Linked DNA regions of Canis lupus familiaris. The protein of the gene in region 2 interacts with the protein of the main gene of each other region in a biochemical or structural test. Links are inferred from orthologs where the notes say so. Each region holds a gene or a part of one and is shown on either strand. Other genes may lie near its edges.

Region 1 (4,318 bases), on a different chromosome or scaffold from region 2:
AAGGTACGCACCTCACACACACTCACCGCTACACATACACCCGTGGCAACCAGTATGATTATTGAAAATGAATTTCCCCCTGAGAGAAAGCGAACATTTCCAGCCAGACTAATGATTTGAGTGCTTATCCTTTTACCTGATCTGCTAAAATACCCCCTGAAATCCCAGATTTCTCAACAGATAGGTCAACAGACCAATGATCACCTGGCTGCAGGAGAGTGAAATGTGAAGCTCTTCATATGCCGCAGGTGTGTCCTACCTCCAGGTGAGCCCCCTGCCCCAAGCTAGACCCCATTCTGCCAGGTTTATTTTAATCCACACCCATCCCATGTCCTCCCTCCTGAACCCCTGCAGCGCAAAACCCACTCATGGTTCCCACAACAAAGTTCACACTCCTTCCCGGGCACAGGTCTGCCTCATGTAGGCACTCTCAGCCCCCACGAAGGCCAACTCTCTTTGCACTGCCCCTGGAACATGCCTTTGCTCCCCTCACTCCTTCCCCCTCAGCCTTCCTTCCTCTTCATCTATCCATGTCCTGCACATCTTTCCAGAAAGTTCCAGCTCATCCAAAGTCGTTCCAGTTCTAGTCCACACGCTACCGCTCTCCCCATCCTCTAAATACTCATGGTAATTATTATCTGCACCACTCGGCTGTGTGTGACTGCCTTGCCACTTTCTTTTGTACTACTATACAATGTTGATATTACTATCTAAGTGTTCACATTCTGGCTCTAAGACTAGTTTGCAATGCTGTGCAAACTACAAAGATTTGTTGACTATGACACAGTATGAGGCTACACAGGAGTGCAAAGAGAAGAAAAACACAATCTGAAAAGGCTTACGGTTGACTAGAAGACAAACCCTATGCAAAACCAAATGTAATACAAACTAGAAGCTACTAAAGGTGGTAAGAGGTACAGATAAATTGTTATGTGAATTTAGAAAAGAGATCATTTCTAGATGGGGTGAAGAGTGGGAATCCATTCTAAGTTTATGACTGAGATGATCATCTCAAGTCCTTAAGTCACAGGATGCTATCCTGATAACCTCTTGAAAAGCTTTCCGATGTTACTGCAGACACCTATTTCTAAAAAAGGAAGAAAACTACGTAGAGGATATGTGCCACTGTGCCTTACCTGTTCAGATTATTGGGATAGGGTAAGGAGCTTGAAAACTTCACCGCTCCATTCAAGTCCTCACTGACGACAATGTCCATCTCACTCTTCTGCCGGACTTTGGAATGCCTGCAAACATGTCATCTCCTTGATTATAGCCCCCAAGTCACTTGGGCAAGAGGTACTTTACATCTGTAACATATCACTTTACAACTGTACAGGATACCCCCGGGTTGCAATTTTATCTTTGGGTAGCAGTCAATGCATCTGCATCTGGCTGGGATGATTTCTTTGAGAGCTGAAAAACAGTCTGTACCGCCTGAAGGAGTGGAGGCATCAACCCTCCTGTGCCCAGAGTACCACAGCCAGTACTGCCAACTTCTAATCTCATCCTTAGCTTGTCTTTATAATTTTCTCCACTTTTCATTTTATCTAATACAAAATTCATGTTTTTTTTTTTTTAAAGATTTTATTTATTTATTCATGATAGTCACACAGAGAGAGAGAGAGAGAGAGAGAGAGGCAGAGACACAGGCAGAGAGAGAAGCAGGCTCCATGCACCGGGAGCCCGACATGGGATTCGATCCCGGGTCTCCAGGATCACACCCTGGGCCAAAGGCAGGCGCCAAACCGCTGCGCCACCCAGGGATCCCAAAATTCATGTTTTGACAGAGGATACAATTAGAACTTCCAAACCAGGATCACTGCACACGTATCACGTTTATAGGATATACGCGCAACACATGCACACGCAACACACTTCCCTCTAAATGTAGGTGACTAAATGTTAACTCTAGTGGTGAATGAATTCACATTTCCCAATTTAGAGAACTTACTGATGCACCGATGCACCGGAAATAGTATTTGAAGGGGAAAAAATGTTAAACGCAACTAGTTTCAAAGCTTTTCAGTGATGAGGAAAATGCCTTAAATTTGAATTATGCTTCATAGATAACCAAGTACTTCAACACCGAACACAGGCTTCTTTGCCACAATAATCCCATGTGGTAGGCCCTGTTTTTAGTCCCCCATTCAGTGGTAAGGACATGAAGATCGGTTGACTTGCCCAAGGTCTTATAACTACAGAATGGCAGATCTGGACTCAAACCCAAAGTCTACCATTCTTTCTACTCTGTCTGAATGTACAAGTCTTTCCTTCCCAAAAACACCTGGGAAATTCAAATAAAAAAATACTTTAGTCCTGAACACTTCTCATAGGCAAGGGGTCAGCTGGCCTGTCTGGAGCATGTGGGAAGCCTACAGGCACTGGCACATGGCAGTGGCCACCGGCTTACAGCTCTGGCTGGTACTATGATTACTGTAAGGCAGGGGCAAGCTTGTCATTAGTCCATCAATGGAAAATTATAAACATAAAAGGACATAGTAAATAAATGTTTATTGGTTAGGTCCTGAAAAGTATTTCAAAGTAGCATTACAACAGAATTATGAAGCTCAAACTGCCTCTGTCCTGAAATTACTATCCACTTGCCATCTGAGACGAGAGAGTGAAATTTTTAAAAAGTTGTCTAAGGCATTACAAGACAAATGAGACAGATAATTCTCACAAACTAGTCCACTAAACAGCTCCTGACTGGGTGTCCAAGTCTGCCTGAAGTGTCACCTGGCCTTCCAGCACTGGAGTGGAGTTCTAAAAAGCTGATTCTGCAGACAACAGACTTACCATACAGATGCTGGGACATTAGGGATATATTTTCAAATAGCACTTGTTCTTCCAGTTTGAATGGATTTTAACTCATCTTGTTAAAAATAATGAAAAAGCTCAACATTTGAACTGAAGAAAAGCAGCAATTCTTTGATTAGTTAAAAATATTGATGTACAGATATTTAAGTTATTTTTATGATGGTTATAGAATAAGGTGTGACTATAAATTAATGAGCCAATTCCTTAATATTCTAGAACTTACGCAGCTCAAGTACTGCTTGTTTTAAAATAAACCACCACAGGAGGGCATACTTTGCCATTTTGCCAGACTCCAGAAAAGCAGTCACCTGGCCTTATTTCTCTTTGCATTATACATGTTGACTGAACTGGACTGCCATCACAAAAACCACTCTTCTAGAGTTGATTTCCAAGGCTAAATCTTATAAGTAAATAATTAATGATGTAAGTTAAGTACCTGTCCTTTGAAAAAGTTACTGTTTTCATTACTTCCAAAAAGATATTTAGAAAAATATAATAGCCAGTGCTGGCAATGGTATGGTAAAAGAGGCAGCTTTGTATGTTCCTGGTCAAAACATTATTCATACAACCTTTCTGTTGAGCATTTTAATACACATCAAAAACCTTTACGATGCACATAATTTTTGATCAGTTAATTCCACTTCTAGGAATTGTCCTAGGGAAATAATTATGGATCCATAAAGATTTCCCTATAAGAACATTATTCTTGGTGTTATTTTAAGAAGTAAAAATTCTAAACCACCTATGCTTCCAATAACGGGGCATAAATTAAATAAATTTCAGTATAGCCATTCAGTTGCATACCAGATATGACAAATAATGGAAAAACATAAAGGATTTTCAATAGCAAGACTGAGAAGCAGGTTACAGGAGAGTATAATAATTTGTGTTTTTGTAAAAAGTATAACATATACTGAAGAGCCTGGAGACACACAAAAATGTTCATAGTGGTTCTTTCTGGATTGTGTGAAAGAAATTCTCATGGTGTAAAAATGTTTTGTGAGCACATGCAGGACAGTTCATATTATGTTAATCATTGATGTAAAAAAGAGGTGAAACACAAACGAACCAACAGACAAGTACAGACCAATTTTCTTGTACCCATATGAAACACCCTTGGAAGCACACCAAAAACCAGTAGTAGCAGGTACCTATGGGGAAGGAAGCCAGGTGGTGGGGAGGCTGCCCAGAGGGGACTTTTCAGTGCATACTCTTTTATCACTTTTGGAAGCTTGAACCATATGAACTTATTACTGCTCTAAAACAAAACAATACAAAACAAAAACTGGAAATAAAAACAAAATTTGGGGGATCCCTGGGTGGGTCGGTGGTTTAGCGTCTGCCTTTGGTCCAGGGCGTGGTTCTGGAGTCCCGGGATCGAGTCCCGCGTCAGGCTCCCGGCATGGAGCCTGCTTCTCCCTCTGCCTGTGTCTCTGCCCCCGCCCCTCTCTCTCTATGTCTATCATGAATAAATAAAATCTTTAAAAAAAAAAAAATTGGA
Region 2 (5,056 bases):
ACACTCCCCTGGCTCTATTCCCATCTCTGTGGCTATGACCTTTCATTTAAAACAAAAAACAAAAAACAAAAAAACCAAAAAACTCCCCTATGATCTCCCTTTTCCCTTCTAGCTCTCAACTTTCTAGGTGAACTCACTCAATCCCACAGCTTGGATCTCCTTTGTGATCTTCAGATTTGTAGGTCTAATTGCTGATCTGACATTTTCACTCACCAGTCTGACTCTACTCTCTTTCTCAATTCAATCCATCACCAAATCTTAACATTTCTATTTCAAAAATGCATCTGGAATCCTCCTGTTCCATCCATTTCTACTGCTTTCCCCCTGATCCAAATCACCATCAGCTCTTAACTATATTAATTCCATGAATTAATATAGTTTCCCTCTTCTCACTTTTGCTCCCTTCCGTCCATACAATAGGCAAAGGGATTAAAAATATTAACATAGTTCTTCAGCAGACCCCTACTACACTTGAGAAAAATCCTAATACTTTATTACCATCTGTAAAATCCTCCATGATCTGGCTCTAGGCCAACCTTCCTAACTTCTCAGAGCACCCTCTGCCTGTTTCCAATTTCCCCAAGTCACCAAGGTCTTGCCTGTTTTAGTTCCTTTACAAACCTTACTCTGCCTAGAGGATTATTGCCCCAGTTCTGCTATATTCTTCAGCAACCACTTTAAATGTAACCTTCCCTGACCGTCCTATGTCAAGTTGATTCCCCCTGCTACTGTCTCAATACCTGTTTGTCTCCTTCATAGTACTTAGCATAATTTGTAAGCATATATTTGTCTTCAACCTTAATGACCTATATGTTTGAAGCAGGCAAAAACCACATTTGTTTTGTTCAACTCTGTATATCCTGCACTTAGCAGAGTGTCAAGTAGATAGTGTTCTAGATGAATGCAAAATTCATTGCACTTATTCTGTAATTTGCAATTATTAATTTATGTCTGTTTCCCTCCTTCCAGGAAATTAAGCTCTTTTCAAACTGGGATTGCGTCTTAATTTCTAATTTTCGAATTGTTAGAACCATGCATACCTCACAGCAGCATGTAATCCAAAAGATGAGGTAAACAAGTTGATGGGGGCAGGGGGAAGGGAGGAGCATAATGAAAGAGTGGGACTTTCCAGAAGGCTGGGGTGGTGGCATACTATCCATCAAGACAGAGAATATAGCAAGCAGCTTTGGGGAAGGGATGATAAAAAGTTCAATTTCTGACAAGATGAGGAGTGTACAGAACATAAAAGTAAATTTCCAGTAGATATTTGGAAACAAGCATCTAGAGTTGACAAAGAAGGAAGTGCAAATATTTGTATGATAATTTTAAGACTGAGGTCATCAACCATTTTGAAAATAGCATGAAAAAAATCTCTAAGAAAAAAAATGTGCACATACATTTTTTTCATAGACCTCCTGAGACCCCTTCATGATTCCCCAAGATTATGAATTGCTGAGATAGCTGTAAATTGAAATCATGGAGATGGATAGTATCAATGAACTGACAGGGAAAAAAAGTGAATAAAGACCTGAAGACTGGGGATCCCTGGATGACTCAATGGTTTAGTGCCTGCCTTTGCACAGGGCGTGGTCCTGGAGACCTGGGATCCAGTCCCACATCGGGCTCCCTGCATGGAGCCTGCTTCTCCCTCTGCCTGTGTCTCTGCCTGCCTCTCTCTCTCTGTGTCTCTCATGAATAAATGAAAAAATATATAAAAAAAAAGAGAAAAAATAAATAAATAAATAAATAAAAAAGAGACCTGGAAGACACTCTTCACAACTGTGTTTGTGTACAGGTTTTATATTTATGCCCAACTGTAACCTCTCACAGCACTGCTGTAAAGATTAAATGGGAACATTGCAAATTATGTGACAAAGATTTTGGAACACCACAGGCTTAGCTCTTGAAGTGCATGGTTCCACTGGCACCAATCTTATATAAGACAACACTCATTTATTCTGTGGTAGTTATCAATGTCCCGGTTTTATCTCGACTAGAATATAAAGCAGAGGCCAGATTATCTTTTTTTTTTTTGTATCTTTCCAGGCCCAAGGACAGTGCCTTCCATATACTAAGCGCTCCATCTGTATCGCTGAATGAGCAAACTAAGGCACAAATCCCTGTCATATCCAGTTTCCTTCTGTTAATGAGTCATTCCAATTGTCATTATGTAATTATGAGTGCAGTGTAATAAACCTTTCAAGGGAGAAAAGGGGGTAAGCATCTAAGGTAGATGAACATCTAAAAAAGCTGCTGTCTTGTCCAGTTCACAAATATAATTCTGTATTAAGTGCTGCAGAACTCATTTTCTGTTGGGTTTCTGGTTTTAATTCGAAATTACACGAAGTATTTTGGGGGTACTCCTACAGGTCTCACGTGGCAAAACAAGTAATTAAAAGCAAAAGAAACGAGATACCTCAACAAATAAGTACTAAGATTTGTGCAGTTCTGCAGCATCCAAGCAAAAGGGCATAATTTAGGTACTGAATATTTTCAGCATTTACCTGTAAATTAATTTTCGGCTACACCCACCCCCCAATTTAAATATGTGGGCGTTTGCTTACTAGGGGAATTCCAGGTTGTGCTTTCAGCTGTTGAGCTTCCCCCAACCCCCCTTTATAAGAGAGTTTCACATATTTGCTCCACTGCTTGGAGCCTTTCTCGGGTCCAGCTGTCGCTCCAGGTTGGGCCAGCAGCCTAGGGAGTGTGACTCAAGGCGGAACCTGGGCAGTCGACTCCCGACGACGCGGCCCCAAAGCGCAGGGGTGGGGGGTAGAGATCCCCGGGGAGGAGTGGAGAGTCGGCAAGAAGCTGAGTGCGGTGAAACGCTCCACTGGACAGGGTTTCAGAACCCAGCGACCTAAACGTGGATTAACAGGTCACGAGGGGTCGCTTCCACCGAGGTCCCTCGGGCGCCGTCGTGCAGCAGCGCCCGGACCTGGAGCCCCTCGGACCCGCAGGCTCCTGCTCCTCTCCGGCTCGGACTCCCACTCCGCGTTTCCGCTCTCCTCGCCCGCCCGCCCGGCCGGGCCTGCCCCTGCCCACCCGCGACCCCCGGCCCTCGGCGGCGCCCGGGCAAGGCTGGCTACTCACGTCCTTCTTCACTTCGGTCAGGTCCTCCTCGGTGAGGGACGGCGCAGCGGGCTCCATGGCGGAGGAGCGGGGTAGCGCCTCTTCCGGGTCCGGGAGCTGCGGCGGCACCGCCCGGCCAGGCAGGGGACTCGGGCCTCCGGGTGAAGCGGCGACAAGGGCAGGCGGAGCGGGTCGAGAGGAAGAGGGCTGCCGCTTCCAAAACAGAGGCTCACGGACGAGCCCGTAGAGCTTCCGGCTCCGCCTCTGGGGCCGAGGGCGCCGCAGACCTGGGCGTCCCCCAGCGGGCTCCGCGCTGCGCTCCTTCCTCTCCCGGAGGCGCCGGCGCAGGCCCCGCCCCCCGACGAGGCGGGGCTGGCCGTGGGGCCCGCCCCCTCCCAGCGGGAGCCAATCGCTGCCGGCCCGGGGCCCGAGCCTGGCCCCGCCCCCGGCCCCGCCCACAGCCCCCGCGCGTCCTTTGCCGGGAGCGTTTCCGTGGGTGGGGCCCGAGGCTCCTCCCGCCGCAGGCCCCGCCTTTGCGGACCGCTCGCCGGCGGAGGCGGGTCTCTGCCGGACCGTCCCCCCCGGGCTCCTCCCCTTTCCCCAGACCCCGCCCCGCAGCTTCCGGCCGCTGCCTTAACCTACTGAAGCTGTGGGGTTAGATACCCGCCTGCTCGGACGCGGCCCGCGGGCAGCTCCGCTGCAATAGTCAAGACTTTTTTTTTTTTGTCAAGACATTTTTGAAAGAGAAAAACCGCCTATAATCCTTTCATTTTAGCACTCGATTTAACGTCAGCATGCTTTTTGGTCACTTTTTTATGATCCTGTTTCCTTATTTGTTCCATCTGTGTGATGAAGGGATGTCTACCTTACATCCCTTATGGGCTGCTGTGAGAATTAAATGATACTATATATGTAAGGTTCTCAGAGGTACTTGGCATACAGTATGAACTCCGTTTATGATGATCTTTTACTACCCAAACACTTATTGAGTCCTTACTAATATGTCTAGTCATCTTATCTTAGAAGAATTCTATTTTTATGGGGGAGACTGATAAGCAGACAACTACGCCCAGAATGGTATCTAACTACTAATGGAAGTGTATACAGAACAACATGAATAATGAAGAATGGGGACACCTGGGTGGCTCAGTGGTTGAGCATCTGCCTTTGGCTCAGGTGGTGATCCTGGGGTCCTGGGATCCAGTCCAGGATCGGGCTTCCCACAAGGAGCCTGCTTCTGTCTCTGCTTCTCTCTGTGTGTCTCTCATGAATAACTAAATAAAATATTTTTTTTTAAAAAAAGAATGAATAATGTGGATGAGAAGTTCAAAACACAAGACAATGGGCCCAAGACAATGGTTTGGACAACATGCTGAATAAACTCCGTGGTATTTGAAGCAGTGAGGGTAGACAGGACAAGAGGTAGATAGACAAAGACAAACTTGGGAAGTCCAACATTTTTTGAAAGTAAACTCTACACCCAACATGAGGCTTGAACTCACAACCCAGTATCAAGAGTTACATGCTCTACCCACAGAACCAGCCAGTGGGATACCTCTTGAGAACTCTAACATTTAAAGGAAGGGAAAGCAAAAGAACCAGAAAAGGACAATGTTGCCAAAGCCACACAGATGTCTCTTAGCAGCTTCGGGCTCCATCATAAGCTTCTAACATTTACATTACATCATGTGTCTTTTCCTACATTGATCCACAGTACAGTTTTATCTGATTGCTTAATCTTCCCTCATCTTGGTTTAACCCAATTTACTTAACCATTTGTTCTTTCATTTTACAAATATTTATTGAATGTCAACTATGCACCAGACACGGTTTTGGGGTTTGGGGAAACAGCTATGAACAAAATAGGTAAAAATTTATTTCTTCCTGGAGTTTAAAGTCCAGCATACATGTGTTTCAGGGCAGAGCAAATAGACATTTGGAAAATGATATGTAAAGTTATTCTGTTAGAAGATAACAAATGCTA
Region 3 (4,318 bases), on a different chromosome or scaffold from region 2:
CCGTGGGGCGGGCCCTCCGAGGCCCACCTGGCCGACTCCTGACAGCTGGCCTTCAGCCTGCTGTACTCCCTCTGCAGCTGCTCCAGCTGATCCTGCAGGATCTCCTTCTTCTCAGCCAGCTTCTCCCGGGCCTGCCTCTCGGCCTGGAAGTCGGCCTTGTATATATCCGCCTGGCAAAGCCAAGAGAGGGGCACGCCCGCCAGCTGTGGGCCATTCACTGCCTGCTGGGGGATCGGGGACAGCCGGCTCCCACCCTCCCAGAGCCGGGGCACAGAGAGTCACCGCCAAGCGCAGACAGATCAAGGAAGAGCAAGGGGCTCAAAGGGCTTCCGTGAAGCCACCGCAAAATGACACCAGGGACATACATACCAGGGCCCAGGGCCCAGCAGGCCCAGTCGGCTGACCCGCACACGGGCCACAGAGAAGTGCCCTCACCTGAGCCTTTAGCACCGGGACGGTCTCCATCACGATCTTGTGCTGCTCGGCCTCTTCCTTCAGCTTGTCGATCACTTCCTGTTTGGCCACCAGGGCCTCCTCGGCCTGCTGGAGCTGCTGCTTGAGATCCTCCAGCTGCATTCCCTAGGAACGGGCAAGGGGGAACTGCAGGAGCCCAAACTGGCCCGTGGCAGGCACCAGGCTGCCACCAGGCCGGCTGCTGCTCCAGGTGAGAAGAACCAAAAGGAATCAATGAAAGATGGGCCCTGGCTGGCCAACCCTGGAGTGGTGGAGAGCACAAGACGACAGGGCGTGCACGGCACAGGAAAGGCAGAGGCTACAGGGAACCTTTGACATCATGTGGCACAACTTCCCACCCAGGCCAACACTCCCTTCCCAGAATCCCCAGCCGGACAGCCCACCTCTAACCTTTCAGCGGACAGGGCCATCCTCCCTCCTGAGGCCATCCCCTCCACGCTCAGCTGCTCTCCCGTGCTAACAGTCCACCACATGCCGCCACGAAGCTGAGACCTGTGGGTCCTGCCACCCTGCCATCCTACAAAGGTCTGCTGCTCCCTCCCAGATGCCCTCAGCCCCCCATGCACACACGCAGATGCATGCACACACAGACACAGCCACACATGCCAGCAAGCCTTCCTCCTGCAGATCGAAAGGCCACAGTTGTGTAACTAACTCTTCCTGGTGTGGTCGGTGTCAGGTGTTACCCTTACAAGCCTTAGAGATGTCCCCTGGGTACATTCGGGTTTGACAGCATCCTTCTTAAAACGCGATCACTTGACATTGCACCCAGTACAGGTCTGATGAAAACCAACCAGAAAAGGGCTCCCAGCACCACTCCCAGTAGTGTGATGAAGTGTCCCACGCCTCACCTTGGCTCTGGGATCTCTGAGCCAGGAGCCAAGCTGGTGGGAAGGACTGGCCACGGAGACAAGCATGTTCCCAGGCCACACAGAGCGCCGCCAGAGGCCCGGCCCAGGGGACCGTAGGCCACACACAGCACAGCCCTAGGATCCCAGTCTCCCACCACCCGCGCTGAGCTGTCACACTGCGACCTTGACAAAGGTCTACGACAAGTCAAACATCCCCCCCAAAATCAAATTCTGGCAAGTGTTCAAATAAGAACTTGAGCTCCCATGGCCCTAAATCAGTGGCAGCAGGTCCCGAGCTCTGCTGTTTCTAGGCGGCAGGGAGAGGAAGCGAAGCAAAGTCAGTCCTACAGTCCCCGCGACAGCCCCACCATACTCACTCGGTTTCGCTCGCTGCTCACCATGCTGCTCTTGATGTGGTTGTCATACTCCTGGAAGAGCTGGTGATAGGCCACCTGTAGCTGGGCCAGCTTCCGCCTAAGGAAGAGGAGCCTTTGCTGGAGAAACCACCTTGTCCTGACCCCGCTCCACGGTCCTCCTCCTCATGTCCACAGACCAGAAAGGGGCTTGCTTGCAGGGTGCGTTTGTGCCTTCAAGGCCAGCAGCCCTAAGACAGGCTTTACTAAATGCTTAGTATCCCTTTGTTTAAGGCTAACGTTTTTAAAAATAAGAACCGTCTATAATAAAGTGGAACAGTCCTGGGCTCTTCAAAAAAGTGAACTCTGTGAAAAACACAGAGATGTGGGAGAAGTGTTCTAGATTAATGGAGACTCCAAGGCACACCAACGGATGCAATGCAGGGACTGGGACCAGACGCTGTTGCCACGTGGGCCCAAAGGGGGCGTCCGGACGTGGACTGAAGAGCACATACCATCGCATCAGAGATGGATCGTGTAGGTGTGATGACGGTAAGGGACGGCCCGCAGACGGGCTCGCTGACAGGCAGAAAGCCCCCGATGGCCCTCTGGTCTCTGTCCCCCCGGGGGCAGGAAGCCACTCACTTCTCCTCCGAGGCAGCCTGGCGCTCCATGCGCAGGGCCGCCTCCACGCTCTGGCTCTGCATGCGCAGCTGGTCCACCTGCACGCTGTGCTGCTGCTGCAGCGCCTCCCGCTCGCTCTCCAGCTGCCGGGCCTGCTCGCTGGCAGCCCGGGCCCTGGCACGGGGGAAGGGGGAGGTCACGGGAGGGCCTCGGCAGGAGTGGGGGGCAGGGTGTCGGGGCGTTCACAGGATCCCCGCGGCACTGAGGAGGAGCTCGAAGCCCGACGGCCCTGGAAGCTCTGCGGCCTGCAGGCAGAGCGCCGTCACGGGGGCAGGAGTTGCTCAGAACATCCTGCCAACGCACAGCCGATCTGCCGTGAGAAAGGACGTGGCTCTCGGATGTCAGGGGGGCAGGGGGGACACACGGTTACCAGAGATGGGACAACCACAGAGAGCCAGCTTGGGGGCGACTCTTTCCCTCCCAGTCACTGTTCTAGAAGCGGCAAGAAGGCGGCTGACCCACCTCCATGGCTCAGCTGCAGTCCCAAATGCATCCGCCTGCAAGAGGAGCCTCCCCAGCCTGGCTGGGTGACAGCAATGGTGCCACAGCTCGTCTCTTCTCACCAGGCCCTCCATGCTCTAAGCCCTAGCACCCCCTAGCCCCCAATCTCCCATCTCCAGTCTCCTATCTTCTCACAGCTCCCCAGATCTCTAACCATGTCATCCTGCTGGCCCCAGGCCCTGCACGGTCCCCACCCCACCGCAGAGGCGACAGGGGCTGCTAGGGCGGGAGGGGGTGGGGCCTGCTGGGGATCATCGCTGGTCTCGCTGTTTCTCCACACCTGTCCAAACAGACTGAGCACGTTTCCATCTGTGAGCTGACGTGGTCATCACCAGGTGGGCCCGCTGCCTGCCCGGGGCGCGGCGCAAGGGTGAGTGCCATTCCCGCAGGACAGACCCCAGGCTCGGGGGACCTCCGTGTGTCAGAGGCGTGAAGCTCTTCAAAGGGCCACACGGAAGGACCTGAGACACCAGCAGGGCTGTGAGGCCGAGCTGTCCAGCTTACCATCTATATGGCCAGCCACAGGGGATAGGACACAGAAGGACACTGCCTGGGAGCCCACACTTGCTGACGTCTGTGCATGGTCGCTAATGGACCAAAATTGCCCCCAGCGGTTTTTTTTTTTTTAAGATTTTACTTATTTACTCGTGAGCAACACATAGAAAAGGCAGAGACACAGGCAAAGGGAGAAGCAGGCTCCCTGTGGGGAGCCCAATGTGGGACTCGATCCCAGGACCCCGGGATCACGCCCTGGGCCAAAGGGCAGACACTCGACCACTGAGCCACCCGGACGCCCCACCCCAGCGGTTTCTTTCACGTACACAGAAAACAGGCAGAAAGGACACCAAATTGTCCTAAAAACAACACATGGGATTGTAGACACCTGGAGGCCGGGGCGGGGTGGGGGGACACAGGGGCAAACAGCAACGCGACAAGCCCAAGGCGAGCAAGCACAACCTTGTGACACCTTTGCTCACACTCCGATTTCTAGATGGAAGCACGTCCACAAGGTCCCCCCAGCGTGGACGACGGCCAACACCATCCTGCCCCCTCCCCTGGGGGGAAGGCAGCCCTGCCGCCACCACGGGGGTCCACCTTTCTCTCTGGAGGGCAGCACCCGGGGCCGTGAGAGCCGAGGAAGCACTGGTGCCTCAGACCCGGGGAGCCGCTTACGGGAACCCCGCCGCGCAGAAAAGAGCAACTGGCCGGCCGCTGGCTTCAGCGGGCCACTTGCGAAGTTGGCCCTCGGGGGGCACCTGGGCGGCGGGCTGCGGGCTGCGGCGAGTCCCCTACGCCAACGTGACCCCCATACTGCAAAGGATGGTCCCTGTGCCCGGACTGCTCGCACGACAGGAGAGTTTGTGCAGCGCCTGCTCTCCCGTGGGATGCGGGAAACCCTTTCCCGGGATCATTACAGCTGAGCCCTCGCGGACGAGGCCGCCAGACGCCCCTCAG
Region 4 (4,821 bases), on a different chromosome or scaffold from region 2:
AAATTAGTTTCTTTACTAAAGAACTTCTCAGAGCTTTTAATATGCTAATATCACTTTTAATATGCTAATATCACTCTCCAAGTGAAACAATATTACATACAGAATTTACCCAATGTATTTGACTACAGTATCCTTTTTTCAAAGCATTTCACAGGACTAATTTTCCCAAACACACTTTGAGAAGTGCTACATTATTCCCTAGGAAGAATTCTTTGGTTATTTTTGCCACTCTATCATAGCAGCGGTTTCGCGCCTGCCTTTGGCCCAGGGCGCGATCCTGGAGACCCGGGATCGAATCCCACATCGGGCTCCCGGTGCATGGAGCCTGCTTCTCCCTCTGCCTGTGTCTCTGCCTCTCTCTCTCTCTCTCTCTCTCTCTCTGTGAGACTATCATAAATAAATAAAAATTAAAAAAAAATTTATAAATATATCTGTTATATAGGTTACCACGCTGTACTTAAAGTGTTTTTGTGTCTACCTCTCCCACTAGACTTGAAATCTCCTTGAGGGCAGAAAATACGATTTTTGTTGACTGGGATACCATCAGCACCCATCCCAGCATAATAATCTGATAAATAAACCATCTCACATCCTTTTCTCTTCCTCATTGTGATTTAAGAGATATAGATAAAATACTGGGGACGTGGCTTCCACCAAAACACAAAGATCTTGAAAACTGTTAAGGGCAAATCCAAAGTCAGGCTTGGAAAAGTAATGAAGCTATTTCCAAGTCTTAGAGTATTTCTTCTCTTTCCACTACAAGCCCCGTTGTCAAATGTTCCAATTTGAGGAAAGAACCAGTCTAGATACCTGGAAAGTTCCTGAGAGATTTCTAGGATTCTAGAGGAACCCAAATCTCTTCCATTTAATAAGTAATTAATTCCATGGAGACAGAAAGTAGAAAGGTGGTTGCCAGGGGGCAGGGGGAGGAGGAAATGGGGAGTTATTGTTTAATGAATACAGTTTCAGACTGGTAAAGTGAAAAAGTTCTAGAAATAGATGGTAGTAATGGTTGCATACCAATGTCAATGTACTTAATGCCACTGAACTGTACACTTAAAAATGGTTAAGATTGTAAATTTCACATTATATATACCTTATCACAATTTTTTTAAAAAATGATGTGTTGATCTATTTCCAACCAGTGACCAAGAAAAGCAGTCACAAAGCAAGCTACCAAGCATATATTTTTTTATGACCAGGCTAATGAACAGGCTTAGATAACAACACCAAAGGCAACATTTCACTGGAAGTACTTGGCTCCTTCTTTTCTCTTTAAGTGCCTTATGTACTCTCTGATGGTGAGAATTATTAAATTTACTACTTGTTTAGCTGTCAGAGTACTTAATGCTTTAGTCCTTCACCTCCCATTCTCCCTCTCTTCAAGATGTCCTCCCATGCTCTATCTAGAAAGCTGCTTCACAACATTTCTTCAGCTCCATCACTGACATTTGTCATTGTGACTGCCACACAAACATACCTATTTTTCCCAGGTATACTCCCATGCCCCTACCTCCCATCCTATATTATGGGCTCTCTACCCATACCCCTATTCCTTAAGATTCAAGCAAATCTTGAATTCATTTATTCCCTTTACAAGCCAATTGCATGCATTTGAATAATATTGTAATTGTTCATCTTGTCCCGTGTTTTTCACTCAGATTTATCTTTTACAAAACAGTCCTCCAAGGGCGCCACTTTTATCTTGACGTATCCTTTTTTAAGTTTAATTAATAATGGTAAAGAAGAAAACAAAATAATGGTAAAGAAGATGACAATAGCAACAACACAACAGCAGCAGGAACTAACACTTGAGGGCTTAACTTAGGCCAGGTATTGTACTTAGCTTTACCCATATTAACTTCTTTAACTTTCAAACAGACCTATGATGTATATAACTATCTTACACAAAATACAGATGACAAAAACAAAGGCAACACTGCAAAGATTATCAGTCAAGGGTTAATACCTCTAAAAGGTTTGTGAACATCCTTCAGGAGAGCATGAGCCCCCTCAAATGGCAGCACCTAAGGTGGTGGGGATGTGCAACTGTGCATTTTGCTGGGGAAAGGTTTCATAGCTTTTATTGGTATACTGAAAGATGCATGGCTCAAACATGATTATTAACTGCTGCTAAATGCTTAAACATTTTCAATTAAATTGAAGCAAAATTCCTGACTCCGATGTTAGCTGTCTTCCACCTCACGCCCAATCTACTTCCTTCCCTTAGGAAGCCATGATCATTTCACCAAGCTGATCCTCACACTGTTCCCTACTCAGAACGCATTCCAAGATCTGAAGCCTACTGGATGCTTCCGAAACCTTCCTTGTCTCTTCCAGCCCCTACAAATATCACACAGCCTCCAAGCACACACTTGAACACACATTCCAACAGACAACCCCCTTCTTCAGTCCCGTTTTCTCACCCATTCATGCTCACAATACACACTCTAATGTGGCTCTGCCTCCCACATCCCGACACCCTCTACACTCGGAGACACAATCGCAGTGTCACACTCGGTAAACAGTTTGTCACTTCTTGACGTTCGTACCAAAAGTTCCCCCACAAGAGCTCTATTTCACACACTGACCCAGGACCTCAGATACAGCTTCGGACTCAGTCACCAGACCGACAAGCACAGTAATACACACTCACTCACACAGGCTCACCGGCCCACGGTGCTGCCCAAAGTCTCACCGACAATGTCTCACGTACTGACAGTCGCTGTGTTCCACAAACGCTCTGACAAACACCCACCGCCGCTCCCTCTCTCGCCCCACCTCACCCGATGCTGGTACAGACAGACGTTCCCAAAGCCGCCAGTGCCCAGCCGCTCCCGCATCTCCCAAGGCCCGCCCGCGCCCGGCCGCAGCCCCGGGGGCCGCTCCATGGGGCGGGAGGGCTGGCGGCCTGAAGTTCAGCCACTCTTCCCAGGCCGGTTCCGGGCCGCCGAGACTCGCGCGTCTTTCTTCTCGCGAGATGTGTGCGTCACTTCCGGTAACCGCCACAGGAAAAGCCCTTCCCTAGCTGCTCCCGGGGGCACACAGGAACCTGGCCAGAGAAAGGGTCGGGATGAGGGCAGCTCGCTTCCAGTCCGCTAAGTCTCCTGGGCATTCTCCTGGCTGAGAGAACCCACATAGGATTTCCCAGGCTTCCAAACTATAAGCTCTCCATTCAAGCCATGTTCTAAACTCCACATCGTCTCCACCCTGTCTGCATTTCACCTTTTCTTCAGACCTCTACCATCTATCCTCCAACTCCGCCGCTCGCTGAAGTGGCACTGGCAGAAGCCACCAGTGATTCAAATATTGCGGAATCCGAAAAACTATAAAGAATCCTGCGCTAACACGTCTACCGATGCATTACACTTTATAGTTTTTTTTTTAATGATTAATCATCTTCCATAAAATCAGGCTCAGATCTTTTGCTTGACTTCCTGTACACCTGTACCAGGATCTCGCCTGTAATCACAAAGGACTCAAGGATGTGACACTGTTGTGGAGTAAAGAATGTTCCTCCTGATTTGGGGAATTTTCCCCGAAGTGCCTCATGGAGGTTGCAGTCCAGTGGTCGGTCTTCCATTAATGGGTTTGCCAGTGCAGTGGTTCCTCACTGAGGGAACTGTGTCTGATTCGTGATGCAGCGCTGCAGAGGCAAGCTTCAGGAATGCTGTTGGTGCAACTAGAAGCATTTGCCATTGGCAGATAGCCTTAGCATGGAAGAACCAACCTCCCATTTTCACTTTAAGTTGGTCATATGCCTCAGCCTCACAGAACTTGGGGATCCAGTCAGTATATCCAGAACTGGGTATAAAAATTACTATGGCATCCAGTTCTCTGAAGAAATATATCAGTTACTGCTTCCATAAAGTAGTCATTTGAACACCCCTTGACATCATGTGCACTTGGGCCATCGTTTGCACAGTCCCACCTGTGATCTCAGTACTTAAATTCCAACCAACACTTTGTGACCCACAGATTAACATGTTGAGAAGCCTAAAGATGAATACAGCATGTGCATCACAGCAGTGTTGCTGGCTGCTTTGAAAGCATTGAATTGGCTTCTGGCAGAGAACATGCATCTATTGATTCAGAATCCCTGAATGGTACAACCAAAATGTTGAGCATGGCATGTACAAGCCGTGTTAGGCCTCAGTAATGTGTGGTAGCAGATGATGGATTCCTACATGTGCTTGGTTGCTATGGAGCTGGAGTATCAGACTTGGAGGTGATGGCAAATGGTACTTCCCAAACATCTGCTAGAGTTGGGCAGACTGCACAGATGATTGTGGTACCAATTGCCCCTAACATATAAAGCCCTTTGTCTGCTAGGTGTACTGCATAGCTAGCACTAGAGTATGTTTGATCTCCACAGTTGGAGCCATATTCTTGTAACGCTCACTTGGAAGAGCTAGGGAGGGATACTGATGAGTGCGCTGACCCTGAAGTGGTCATAGTTGCAGGAACCAGGTTGTTTGCCATAGTTGACTCTTCACATCCCCATTCTCAGGGATGCTGCATAGCTTGTTTTTAAATCCTGGAACAGTCAACCTTAGGTTTCACAATCTTCAAGTTTGAGAGTCTGTTTTTTCACATATAAAATGGAAGCAATAATGCTTACCTCAGAGGTTCTGTAAGGATTAAGTGAAACTGTTTGGGCCATAAATGCCCAATATAAAGGAACAATTATTTTTCTCTTGGCTTCCAAGATATAGCATTCTGTGATCTTTCCCTCTCTTTTTCATGTACTTGTGGACCACTCTATTTCCAAGGACTCCTTAAAGATTGATGCTTCTTAGATATTCATCTGCAGTTTAGGAC
Region 5 (5,092 bases), on a different chromosome or scaffold from region 2:
ATGGAGAAGACGCGGGTGGGCTCCTTGCCCGTGACCTTCTTGTAGAGCTGGGGGTAGTACAGCTCCAGGCTCTCAAGGAAGGCCACATAGCCCTTGTGACCGGTCCGCTGCAGGATGTCCAGGAGCACTCCTGAAACCCACAGGGCCAGGCTGGGGCTGGCTGGGCTTGTGCACTGAGCTCCTATAGGCCCAGCCCAGGTCAAGATCTACCTGCTGCCCACGCACCCTTGCCCTCCCAGGGGTGTCTGCTGTGCATGGAAGCACCACGGCTCCCAGCAGACAGGACAGGGTGTGGGGTGCTGGGGAGCGCCCATTCCTGTGCTCAAAGCTCCCGGCTGAGGCAGCACTGACCCACTTTCCGCTTGCGGATGACCAGGTTGGGGTCACTGAGCACCTGCTCCTCATCATCGGGGTTCAGCACCTTGCATTGCCTCAGGTAGGGCGTGATGCGCGAGGGGTCGATGACGGAGATGAGCTTCACTCGGAAGCTCTCCAGGGTACTCCAGCACTGGTCTTCGTTCTCATAGTCTGACATGGTGGCGGCCACCGCTGCGATTGGTGGGAGAGCAGCTGGCAGGGACAGTTGCATGCTGGGCCCAGGGGAGTCCAGGACAGGTAGGTGTGAAGCCTCACCCGCCCTGGCCCTCCCTCCTCTGCGCTGGTGCTCTGACCGGGGCACCAGCTCAGCCAGGGCAGCCCTCCCGGCCTTCTCTAGACCCTGCAGCCACTCCCTCAGCAGGTGACCTAGGCTTTCTCTGTCCAAGTCACCCTGATAAGTGTGAGGGAAGATGTGGAGGCGCTTCAGGGACTGGCGGCATCTGAGAATACCCCCCCCCCCACTGTGGCCTTGTTCTGGCCTCTGCACCCCCATCCCTAAAGCGTGAGTCTGGCAGACCACCACCTCGTACCCACTGGCAGGGCCTCCCTGGCAGGTACAGGGAGGTAGGCGCCCAGGCTGGGGAGGCACGCCTGGGGCATTGACCTGCCCACGTACACGCCAGCCTGTGCTGCTGTAGGACTTCCTCCTTCTTGGACATGGCTCCTGCTCAGGGCCTAGCCCCACCGCCTCCTCTCTTTCCGGCGGCTGGCTGGTGGTGCAACAGTGGCCCAGGCACCGGCTGGCTCAGGAAGGGCAGCTGTGGACCGCTGCACCAGGAGGGGCCCAGCTGCATTGGCATGGCCAGCACCCACGCCGCTCCTGTGCCCTCTGCAGACTCCTAGGGACCAGGCACCAGCCACCTCTGGGCTCCTCTCCCTGTTCCTGGGCACGCAGGGTGCCAGCTCCCTGACCAGGGCCATCCGTGTTGGGACTACCCACTGCTGCTCCCTTCCACTGGCGGGCACAGACCACGCTCGAGGCCTGGGCCAAACCAGGAGCCTCCTCCCAGTGGTGGGGACAGAGACCCTGACTTGCCACCTCAGACTGCCCTCAGCCAGCGTAGGAACTGTGGGCGGAGGTTTGCCACCCAGAGGAGCTAGGCCATACTCCCAGAGACAGACGGCAGCAGGCAGGGCCTCTGGAGGAGCTTCCTGAACTTCCTGCAGCCCTTGGCCACACCATCCAGCCAGAGAGACACCAGCAACTCAGTGGATGGCCCTTGGAACGTTCAGCCCGCTTCCTGCCTTTCCCACCTACATCCACAGGTCCCACACCTGACCCCTGCCTCTAATTCCACCGAGCTGAACAAGCAGGTCTCAGGTGGCTGTGAAGGACAGGGCAGGAGTGGAGGCCCTGGGTGCTCTTCTGGGGTATGTGCCCCAGGAGCCCTGAGCAGAGAGATGGGTGTCTTCCTGGCCACCCTGAGAGGGCAGCCAACCAGCCTACCTCAGGGTCCTCGAGAGGCACCTGTGCAGTGGACACTGGTCAGCCCAGGCTGGCCTGATCCGATGAACAGGAGGTGCTGCTGGCAGCCCAGTGGAGCTCAGGAGGAAAAGCTGTGCACTTCCTGATGGTGCTGCTCAGCTCCACAGAGCCGGGAAGGTCCTCCCAGAGGGAGTGGGTCCTTGGGCCTGCCTTCTGATTCGCCCGCCTGGCAGGGCCCAAGAGGCGGGGCAGAGGGAAGTGGAAGTCCTGCTCAGAGGCCTGGAGGCCCACCCCTGGCATCCACTAAGTGGAAGTGTGAGCAAGGACCCTCCCCGGAGCTGGATGAGGCCAATGCACTGTCTAGTCCGCTCTGGCCTGAACGCAGGCTTCTGGAGGCTTCTCCACCAGGGGCTGGCTGGGAACCTGCAGCGTGGGCCCTCTGCAAAGTGCAGGAGATCCCAGGGCTTCAGGCCTAACTCTGGGATTTCAGCCAGATGCCCACACACACAGTAGGCCAGCCGGGCCTTGATCACATGAGGGCTGGTGTAGCGTCCAGAAGGCATGTGGCTGGAGACCCCACTGTGGCCTGTCCGTGCTTGCCCCACATGGCCACCGGCCCCTGCTACACTGCACACCCTATCCCTTCCTGGGAGTGTCTCCACTTAGCAACCTCTTTACTAGGACACTCGGGACTGTGACAGCAGGCTCCCAGGCCACTCATCATGGCCCCGCAAACCAGTTTCAGAAGGGCTGTTTCTGCCATCAGAGCTGCACCCAATAGCCAGGATAGCAGGCCTCCAGACCAGGGTCTGCCAGGAAACCCCCAGGCCAAGGCCTCACTGGCGCAGCTGGGCCGGTTGGTCCAAGTTGTTGGCTGCCAGGCTGAGGCAATTGCTAGGGAAAGGCCAGGATGGTCCTGAGCAGGGCTCCCAGCCCCACCTTCCCATGGCAGCTGCCTCTTGCCTGACAGGCTCCCCGCCTGTAGGCTCTCGGACCTCTGACCCTGGGTGGATGGAGGCTGCCATCGCGCTTCCAGAACAGCCAGTCCTGGGCCCTCCAGGAGCTATGACCAGCAGTGTTTCCCTGCTCTGCAAAAGCAAATTAATAAAGGGTGTCTCCCCCACGGGGGTGTTGGTAAGAATTCAATGACAGAAATGTTCTGTTCTCTGTATCAAAAGCCAGAAATCAATAACAAAAGGCTAACTGGAGAATCCCTAAACGTTTGAAAATAAAATAAGAGACCTCTAACTAGCCATAGGTCTAAAGGAGCCCCCAAGGAAAGCAGAAACGAGCTGAAAAAGCCCCAGGTGCAAACTGAAAAGCTAAGAGCTTGTGCATGAGGCTGCACGGTGGTGGGTCAGCCCCCTGGTGGGTGGGTACAGCACCCCAGGGCATGCTCACACCTGGAGAGCACAGGCATGAAGCCTCTAGAACCAAGCACCTCAAAAGGCTGCACACCAAAGCCAAGGCTGTGCACCGCGTCCCTCAGAGCACCAAGGGTGCTGGGGCTTGGCCTCCCACCAAGAAGCAGCTGCTCAGGAGGAAGGCAATGCCGGCCTGGGGCCGCTGCGTGACTTGTGGGCAGGCGGGCAGCCGCTGGTTCCAGATGCCTGCCTGGGTCGGCGGTGTGGTCAGGAAGGCAGTGAGGCAGGTCCACCCCATTCCCTGTGGCCCCACCAAGGCAGCAGCTGCCTGGTAGCTCTTGGCAGGCCCTGGGGCTTGAGCCACAAGCGTGTTCTGTGCAAAGGGCACTCCCCACGTCCTACACGGTGGCCCGGAGCTCAGGGGGTTCCTCAGACCTCAGGGCCCAGCCATCCGGGTCCTGGCACGGTCAGGGGAGCCCCAACCCTCTGCCCAGTCTCTTAAGGCAACAAGAATCTGGGGCTTGCCTTTTAATAAAAAAATAAGCCATTCACTTTATTCCTTCAAACATTCCTTCCGATTTGTGCTGGAGGACTAGCCAAGCCCCAGTGGCTTCACGGTCACACGGCGAAGCCTCCCCCAGCCTCCAACTGCTTTAGGCTGCTTCCTCCGGGAGGGTTGGAGCTGGGCTCCACAGGCAGGTGGGCTCACTGGGGTCCAGCATGGCTCCCGCCTCCTGGAACACAGAGATGCCCAGATGGTGGGGACACCCTGACCCCAGCCAGACCCCAGAGATGGTGCTGTAGGATAGGAACCAAAGGTGGCATTAGGCCTCCTCCGAGGGCGCAGAACCGGGTCTGGCTGCCCACCTGCAGTCCATGCAGGGGGCCATGCTGAGGGCAGGCCCTAGAGCCTGGGTGGGCTTCTGATGCCCCCACCCCCACCCCCAGCATCCCCTCTGTGGACCCTCTCAGGGCGCAGCCCCACTACACTCGCAGGAGCTGGCTCCCACCTCTGTAGACCAGACATCTTCCCCCACATGGGATCTCTGCACCATGAACTCAACTAATCCGTACTGAGGGCCTACTTGATGCCTGCTCTCTGGGCACTGAGGACCCGGCAGCAAAAACCAAATCATATCACCGCCCTTAAGGGCTCACGTTTATGGCAGACACGCATGTAAACCATGTCGGGTGTAGAAGAGACAGTGCTAGCAAGACAGACATTGACAGTGGTACTGCCCCAAGAGAACAGGCAGAGAGAGCATCTCTGAACAGCCAAACACTGAGCAGACATGATTGGGATAAGGGAACAAGCCTTACAGACATGGACGAAGGCCAGGCAGAGGGGACAGCAGTGCAAAGGCCCCGAGGCACACGTGGGTCAGCAAGAAGGAAGCACCAGAGCCTGGAGTGTGCAACCCAGTGGGCGAGGGTGTAGCTAGGGGAGAGGGATTACATGGCCCTCCCCACAAACGGCTCCCATAGGCCTGTATAACCCTCCCCATCACACTTGATGTGAGCTCCTAAGGGCGATGATAGTCTGCCCCACATCTGGAAAGCTGTGGGCTCCTGTGTGCCCAGAACAGAGGCACGGGGAAGGCCCATGGTATAGGGGTACCTGCACCCACCCCTGCCCCTGCTTACCCTGCTGCTCACACCAGCCGTTGCCGCTTCCGGGCATGCCAGGCATGCCGGGTTCTGCGCACATCAAGGCTGTCACAACCGTCCAGGCTCTGCCCAGGGTCTGGGGCTCCCTGAAACAAAAGCCAGGAAGAGGGCACAGGAGTGAGTCCCCACTAGGACAGATAGGGAGAGCAGTGGCAGCGAGCAGTCACGCCAGGGGGTAAGCTACATGCTGACAGCACAGTGCAGGGTCAGGCTGCTCCCCAGACCTTATCCTTGCAGACAGTGTGGCTCGCAGAGG
Region 6 (5,022 bases), about 49 Mb from region 2:
AGACACTCAAGAAGCTGGTAGATAAAGAACAGCTCCTGTCTTCCCTGCCATCATCCTGATGCCATTCTGAGTTGTCCCCAAGGCCCCCCCAGTGGGAGCCGTGCTCCTCTTGTCCCCAGCGGTGACTAGTTCACTAAGCACCCTGTGTTCTCGGCCTCCCCAGCCTTGTTTCCCCTTGCCCTGCCATGTTTTCTGGGATCACCTCCCAAATAAACCACTTGCACAAAGATCCTGGTCTCAGCATTGGCTTCCAGGGAAGCCCAAGCCAAGATGTGAAATTATCCTGAGGTTGAGATCCTAGGTCAGAGGGCTCAGCACAGCGCTGGTGCATAGGAAGCCTTGTTGACTACCAGGTGCAATCCTAACCCTCGAATGGGTGGGATTTGCAGGGAGGTGAGCCTTGGAGACAGTTGGGAGAGGTCCAGGTGGAAGGGCGCTGGCGGGGGGGGGGGGGGGGGGGGGGGGGGGGGGGGTTGGGGGCGTGTCAAGGCAGGAGGAAAGAGCGCCCTCTGGGGGTGAGAGGAAGAGGTGCCTGAAGAGTGGATGAAGGGTTGACCAACTTCACCCACCCAGGAGCACAGAGATCTTTACCCTTCTAAACTCCTCACTCCTAAGGGGATGGGCTTAATTTCTCAGAGTCTGTGTTCACGGTCCCTCAGCTCTGTGCAGTTCCGTTTTCCTGGTCCCTGACCCACAGTTCAGGTAGCACAGGTGGGCTCCTTCACCTGGAGCTACAATACTCTTTTCCCCTTTTACTGTTATTCCTGTTATTTATGATCACCTCAAGCATAAAGCTTTATTGTAATCAGAGCAGCATCTTATATCTCTAGACCACCTTTCATCTGACACTTGTCTGACACTCACCAAAGACACTGGAAACTTTAAAGAAGCCACACAAAGCTCTCCTTGGCTCCACCCTCCTCTTAAAGGCAAGTGTCAGGGGCAGGAAAGGAAACAGATCAGATCACATATTTACTCACCAGCCTCCCTGGCTTCTCACAACAAACCACTAAGGGAGGAATTATAAGCCCCAATTTGCAGATATAGAAAAGAGCTTCCTGGAACAAATTTACTGGTTTCTCAGCTCAAGATCATGTGACCCAGACCACACATTCCCAAAAGGCTTCCCACGCGGGCTTGCGACATCTCCAGATGAAGCATACGGACTACGTTAGAAGGAAGACACATTTCCTCCTACTGCTGTAAATCGACCCACGCCGCCTTCCTGCATAATGAATCAACGTCTTTTTAACATAAGCCCTCTAATCGACGTGGGAAAAGCACGATTGTATCACACTGTGTTTAGTTAAAAGAGTTCATTTCTCTCAGGAAAATATTTTAAAATACACAATTTTGTGGCAGTTTTCAGCATGTTGTCACACTCAAGTGTGGGAACCTTACAATGGAGCTCTAAAAATATTGTATTATATATTCGAACATTGCTAAAAGAGTAAATCTTAAAAGCCCTCATCACGAGAAAAAATTTCTGTTAACTGTGTGGTGGTGATGGATGTTAACCAAACCGAACTAACTGTGGTGAGCATTTCGCAGTATGTGAGTACACCAAATCATTATGCTGTACACCTAAAACTAAGAAAATGTTACATGTCAATTATATCTCAACACTGGAGGGGAAAAAAGAAGCGAGATTCTCTAAAAGTAAACATCCCTGTATCATGAGATAATAAAACAAAACGAAGTAACAACTTTTGGGAGGAAGATTTTATTTATTCATTCATGAGAGACACAGAAAGAGGCGGAGACAGAGGCAGAGGGAGGAGCAGGCTCCCTGCTGGGAACGTGATGTGGAACTTGATCCCAGGACCCCAGGATCACGCCCTGAGCCAAAGGCAGCTGCTCAACCACTGAGCCACCCAGGCGTCCCAAGTAACAACTTTCTTAGCTCCAGACTGCAGGGGAACAGACTGTGGGGTTGGGTTTGGCCTGCAGGCTGGAGTTTGCTAACCCTTACTGTGGTCGATTACATTACCAAGAAAAAAAAAAAGGGAAGTGGCCCTGGCCACTCCTGATTCCCAAGAGACCCTCTCTCAGGCCTCTCCCTCATGCCTTTTATTCTGTCTTGGGTTGAGGACCCCAGAAGCAGACCCCCCCAAAAAGATTTGAGGGCAAGCGGTTTACATAGAAGTGGTCCTAGAACATCCCGGTCAGAGAGCAAGGAAGTTGGACAGAGAATGAAGGCAACGAGTAACGGTTTTCCCATGATCCAGTTACCATGGTAAGCAGCTGGAAACCAGCTGGGGACCCCTGGGAGACAGGTGGAGCACACCTCAGATTACCTACCCTGCTATACAGGTGAGTGACTTGGGGTGGGTGATCACCCTCCAGCTGTACCTGCTATTAGCTGAGAGCTGCTCGTGTGAGCCACAGAAAGCCTCTAGGTGGGGAGTCCCGGGTGGCTGCAGATGGCAATGGTGCAGACTTTGTAGCCAGAAGTGTGAGCACCAGGGGACATGAGCGGGGGCCCTGATGGCCTCTCCTGTTAACAGCTTCTTCTGGAGCATGCACCTCCTTATTCAAAACAGCTCTCCTCTTCCTCAAAATGGCTAATCTCAGTTAGTGAGCTCACATTAGGAAACTGTACTCTATTTCCCCCCTCTCTGTGTAAAAAAACAAAATGATTCAGTTTAAATATACATTTTTTAATACATTTTGACAAGGCCAAGAATGCAAGCCCCAAGAGGGCAGGAATGAAACCAACCAGTTGTTTCTACCCCGTTTATTCACAGAATCTCACTCTGTCCAAAGGCTCAATAACAAAGCCACAGAAACAAAACTTTCCATTCTGAGGTGGGCAGTGAAAGAAGGAGGAGGCCGAGGTGGCGGCAGCTGGTCAAGCCTCTACCACTGTTCCTTTTAACAGAAGAGAAACTGAAAGAGCTGCAGCCACAGCCCAGGGTCACATGATGAGTAACAGTAGCATGTGTCATTCTCACATACCCTCGCTCCACTCAGGGGTATGTGGATTCAACACTGCAGCCCCCATGGCACTATCATCCTCCACCCTCTGGCCCTGAACAGCAGTGTTGAGACAGAGCAGGGAGTGCCACTCAGTGGGTCCCCAGACCCTCTGGTCGAATCTGCAGGCATGTGTGAGGGTCTTCTGTGCACAGAATGGAGACGAGGCAGCAATTGGTGCTGTGGCCCAGGCCCATAGTGATCTGGCATGTGCATCAGAGTCTGATTTGTGTCAAAGAAGGGTTCGGGGACTGCCAGAAAAATAGTGTAGGCCTCAGTGCACCAAGGGTGGGACAGTGAGGGTCATTTGCTTGGGTGCAAGCAGTAGAAAACACATTGTCAAAAAAAAAAAAAAGAAAGAAAGAAAAGAAAACACATTGTCTATAGAGAATTTTAAATTAATAATAAGACCAGCTAATTGTGCCAGCAATTCTACATAATGCCAATGATAAATTATTACTTCTTAAAAAATATCTTTGATTGGTCTAAGTGCAAAACAATTGCTGTGGTTACTGCTGGGTTTTAATAATATATATGTGAGCCTCAGATTAGCACATTTTTATTACTTGAAATTTAATAAATATTGTATTCTACGGGGAAGTTAGTTCAGTTCCACAGTCCACCCCAAACACGCACCAACTCATCTACACAGCATGTTCAGTTCAAGAGTATGTTGCCATGGGAACAAGACAAGGATGCTTGTTTCAGCACTTCCACTGGAGCACCTGGCCAAGGCAATTAGGCAAGAAAAAGAAAGAAAAGGCATCCATATTAGGAAAAAAAATGTAAAACAATCTATATTTGCAGATGACATGATCCTAAGGAATCTACTAAAATCCACTTTTAAAACTAATAAACAGGGATCCCTGGGAGGCACAGCGGTTTGGCGCCTGCCTTTGGCCCAGGGCGCGATCCTGGAGACCCGGGATCGAGTCCCACATCGGGCTCCCGGTGCATGGAGCCTGCTTCTCCCTCTGCCTGTGTCTCTGCGCCTCTCTCTCTCTCTGTGACTATCATAAAAAAAAAAAAAAAAAAAAAAAAACTAAAAACTAATAAACAATTTTGGCAGGATTGAGAGACATAAGATCATTATAGAAAAATTGATCATAATTCTACTAGCAATAAACAATATGAAAACAAAATTAAGAAAATTATTCACAATCTTAAGGAAAAAATTAAGAAAATTATTCATTTATAATAGCATCAAAAGCAGTAAAATACTTAGGGATAGATTCAACAGGTGTGTCTTGGTGGCTCAGTTAGTAAAGCAGCCAACTCTTGGTTTCAGTTCAGGTCATGATTTCAGGGTCCTGGGATACAGCCCCAAGTCAGTCTCCACACTCAGCAAGGGGTCTGTTTGGGGATTCTCATTCCCTCTCTTTCTGCCCCTCCCCTTGGCATGCACCCACTCTCTTTCTAAAATAAATAAATAAATCTTTGAAAAAAAGAATAAATTTAACAGAAGAAATGAAGACTTATACACTAAAAACTAAAAATATCATTGAAAGAAATTAAAGATCTAAATAAATGGGAAAACATCCATGTTCATCCTCCTCAAATTGATCTATGGATTTAACACAATCTTATCAAAATTTACTCTGGCTGTTTGGCAAAAATTGACAAGCTGTCTCTAAAATTGATATGGAAATTTAAGGGGCCCAGCATAGCAAAGACAATCTCGAAAATGAAAAACAAAGTTGAGGAACTCACACCTCCTGATTTCAAAGCTCACTACAAAGCTACTGTAATCAAGATATTCTGGTACCAGCTTAAGGATGGACATATACATAATGGAATAAAATTGAGACTCCAAAAATAAACCCTTACTTATAGACAACTGATTCTCAACAAAGGGGCCAGGACCATTCAGTGAGGAAAGAACGTCTTTTCAACGAGGGTGCTGGGATCTGCAAAAGAATGCATTTAGACCCCTACCTCACTCCATACACAAATAGCATATCAAAGTGGATCACAGACCTAAATGTAAGGACTAAAATTACGACCCTCTTAGAAGAGAACATGGAAGTAAATATCTGTGACCTTGGG

The links.
Region 1: the proteins of BCL10 (region 2) and IKBKB form a complex in vitro, tested with the Homo sapiens proteins (2 studies listed by BioGRID, with this or other methods). The link is inferred for Canis lupus familiaris from reciprocal best matches to the Homo sapiens genes BCL10 and IKBKB.
Region 3: the proteins of BCL10 (region 2) and IKBKG form a complex in vitro, tested with the Homo sapiens proteins (3 studies listed by BioGRID). The link is inferred for Canis lupus familiaris from reciprocal best matches to the Homo sapiens genes BCL10 and IKBKG.
Region 4: the proteins of BCL10 (region 2) and CHUK form a complex in vitro, tested with the Homo sapiens proteins (2 studies listed by BioGRID, with this or other methods). The link is inferred for Canis lupus familiaris from reciprocal best matches to the Homo sapiens genes BCL10 and CHUK.
Region 5: the proteins of BCL10 (region 2) and CARD9 form a complex in vitro, tested with the Homo sapiens proteins (2 studies listed by BioGRID). The link is inferred for Canis lupus familiaris from reciprocal best matches to the Homo sapiens genes BCL10 and CARD9.
Region 6: the proteins of BCL10 (region 2) and CARD11 form a complex in vitro, tested with the Homo sapiens proteins (2 studies listed by BioGRID, with this or other methods). The link is inferred for Canis lupus familiaris from reciprocal best matches to the Homo sapiens genes BCL10 and CARD11.

Annotation. Positions count from the first base shown.
Region 1 is NC_049237.1:24,107,421-24,111,738, forward strand, and holds part of IKBKB (inhibitor of nuclear factor kappa-B kinase subunit beta), read right to left. Parts: intron 1,245-4,318; coding exon 1,137-1,244; intron 1-1,136.
Region 2 is NC_049227.1:63,256,403-63,261,458, reverse strand, and holds the start of BCL10 (B-cell lymphoma/leukemia 10), read right to left. Parts: upstream 3,418-5,056; 5' UTR 3,151-3,417; coding exon 3,094-3,150; intron 1-3,093. UniProt on the Homo sapiens protein: Plays a key role in both adaptive and innate immune signaling by bridging CARD domain-containing proteins to immune activation.
Region 3 is NC_049260.1:123,432,955-123,437,272, reverse strand, and holds part of IKBKG (NF-kappa-B essential modulator), read right to left. Parts: intron 2,477-4,318; coding exon 2,324-2,476; intron 1,800-2,323; coding exon 1,703-1,799; intron 580-1,702; coding exon 436-579; intron 171-435; coding exon 28-170; intron 1-27. UniProt on the Homo sapiens protein: Regulatory subunit of the IKK core complex which phosphorylates inhibitors of NF-kappa-B thus leading to the dissociation of the inhibitor/NF-kappa-B complex and ultimately the degradation of the inhibitor.
Region 4 is NC_049249.1:13,186,388-13,191,208, forward strand, and holds the start of CHUK (inhibitor of nuclear factor kappa-B kinase subunit alpha), read right to left. Parts: upstream 2,962-4,821; 5' UTR 2,892-2,961; coding exon 2,787-2,891; intron 1-2,786.
Region 5 is NC_049230.1:49,108,363-49,113,454, reverse strand, and holds the start of CARD9 (caspase recruitment domain-containing protein 9), read right to left. Parts: upstream 3,286-5,092; 5' UTR 1,826-3,285; intron 591-1,825; 5' UTR 590-590; coding exon 352-589; intron 131-351; coding exon 1-130. UniProt on the Homo sapiens protein: Adapter protein that plays a key role in innate immune response against fungi by forming signaling complexes downstream of C-type lectin receptors.
Region 6 is NC_049227.1:14,345,859-14,350,880, forward strand, and holds the start of CARD11 (caspase recruitment domain-containing protein 11), read left to right. Parts: upstream 1-2,046; 5' UTR 2,047-2,313; intron 2,314-5,022. UniProt on the Homo sapiens protein: Adapter protein that plays a key role in adaptive immune response by transducing the activation of NF-kappa-B downstream of T-cell receptor (TCR) and B-cell receptor (BCR) engagement.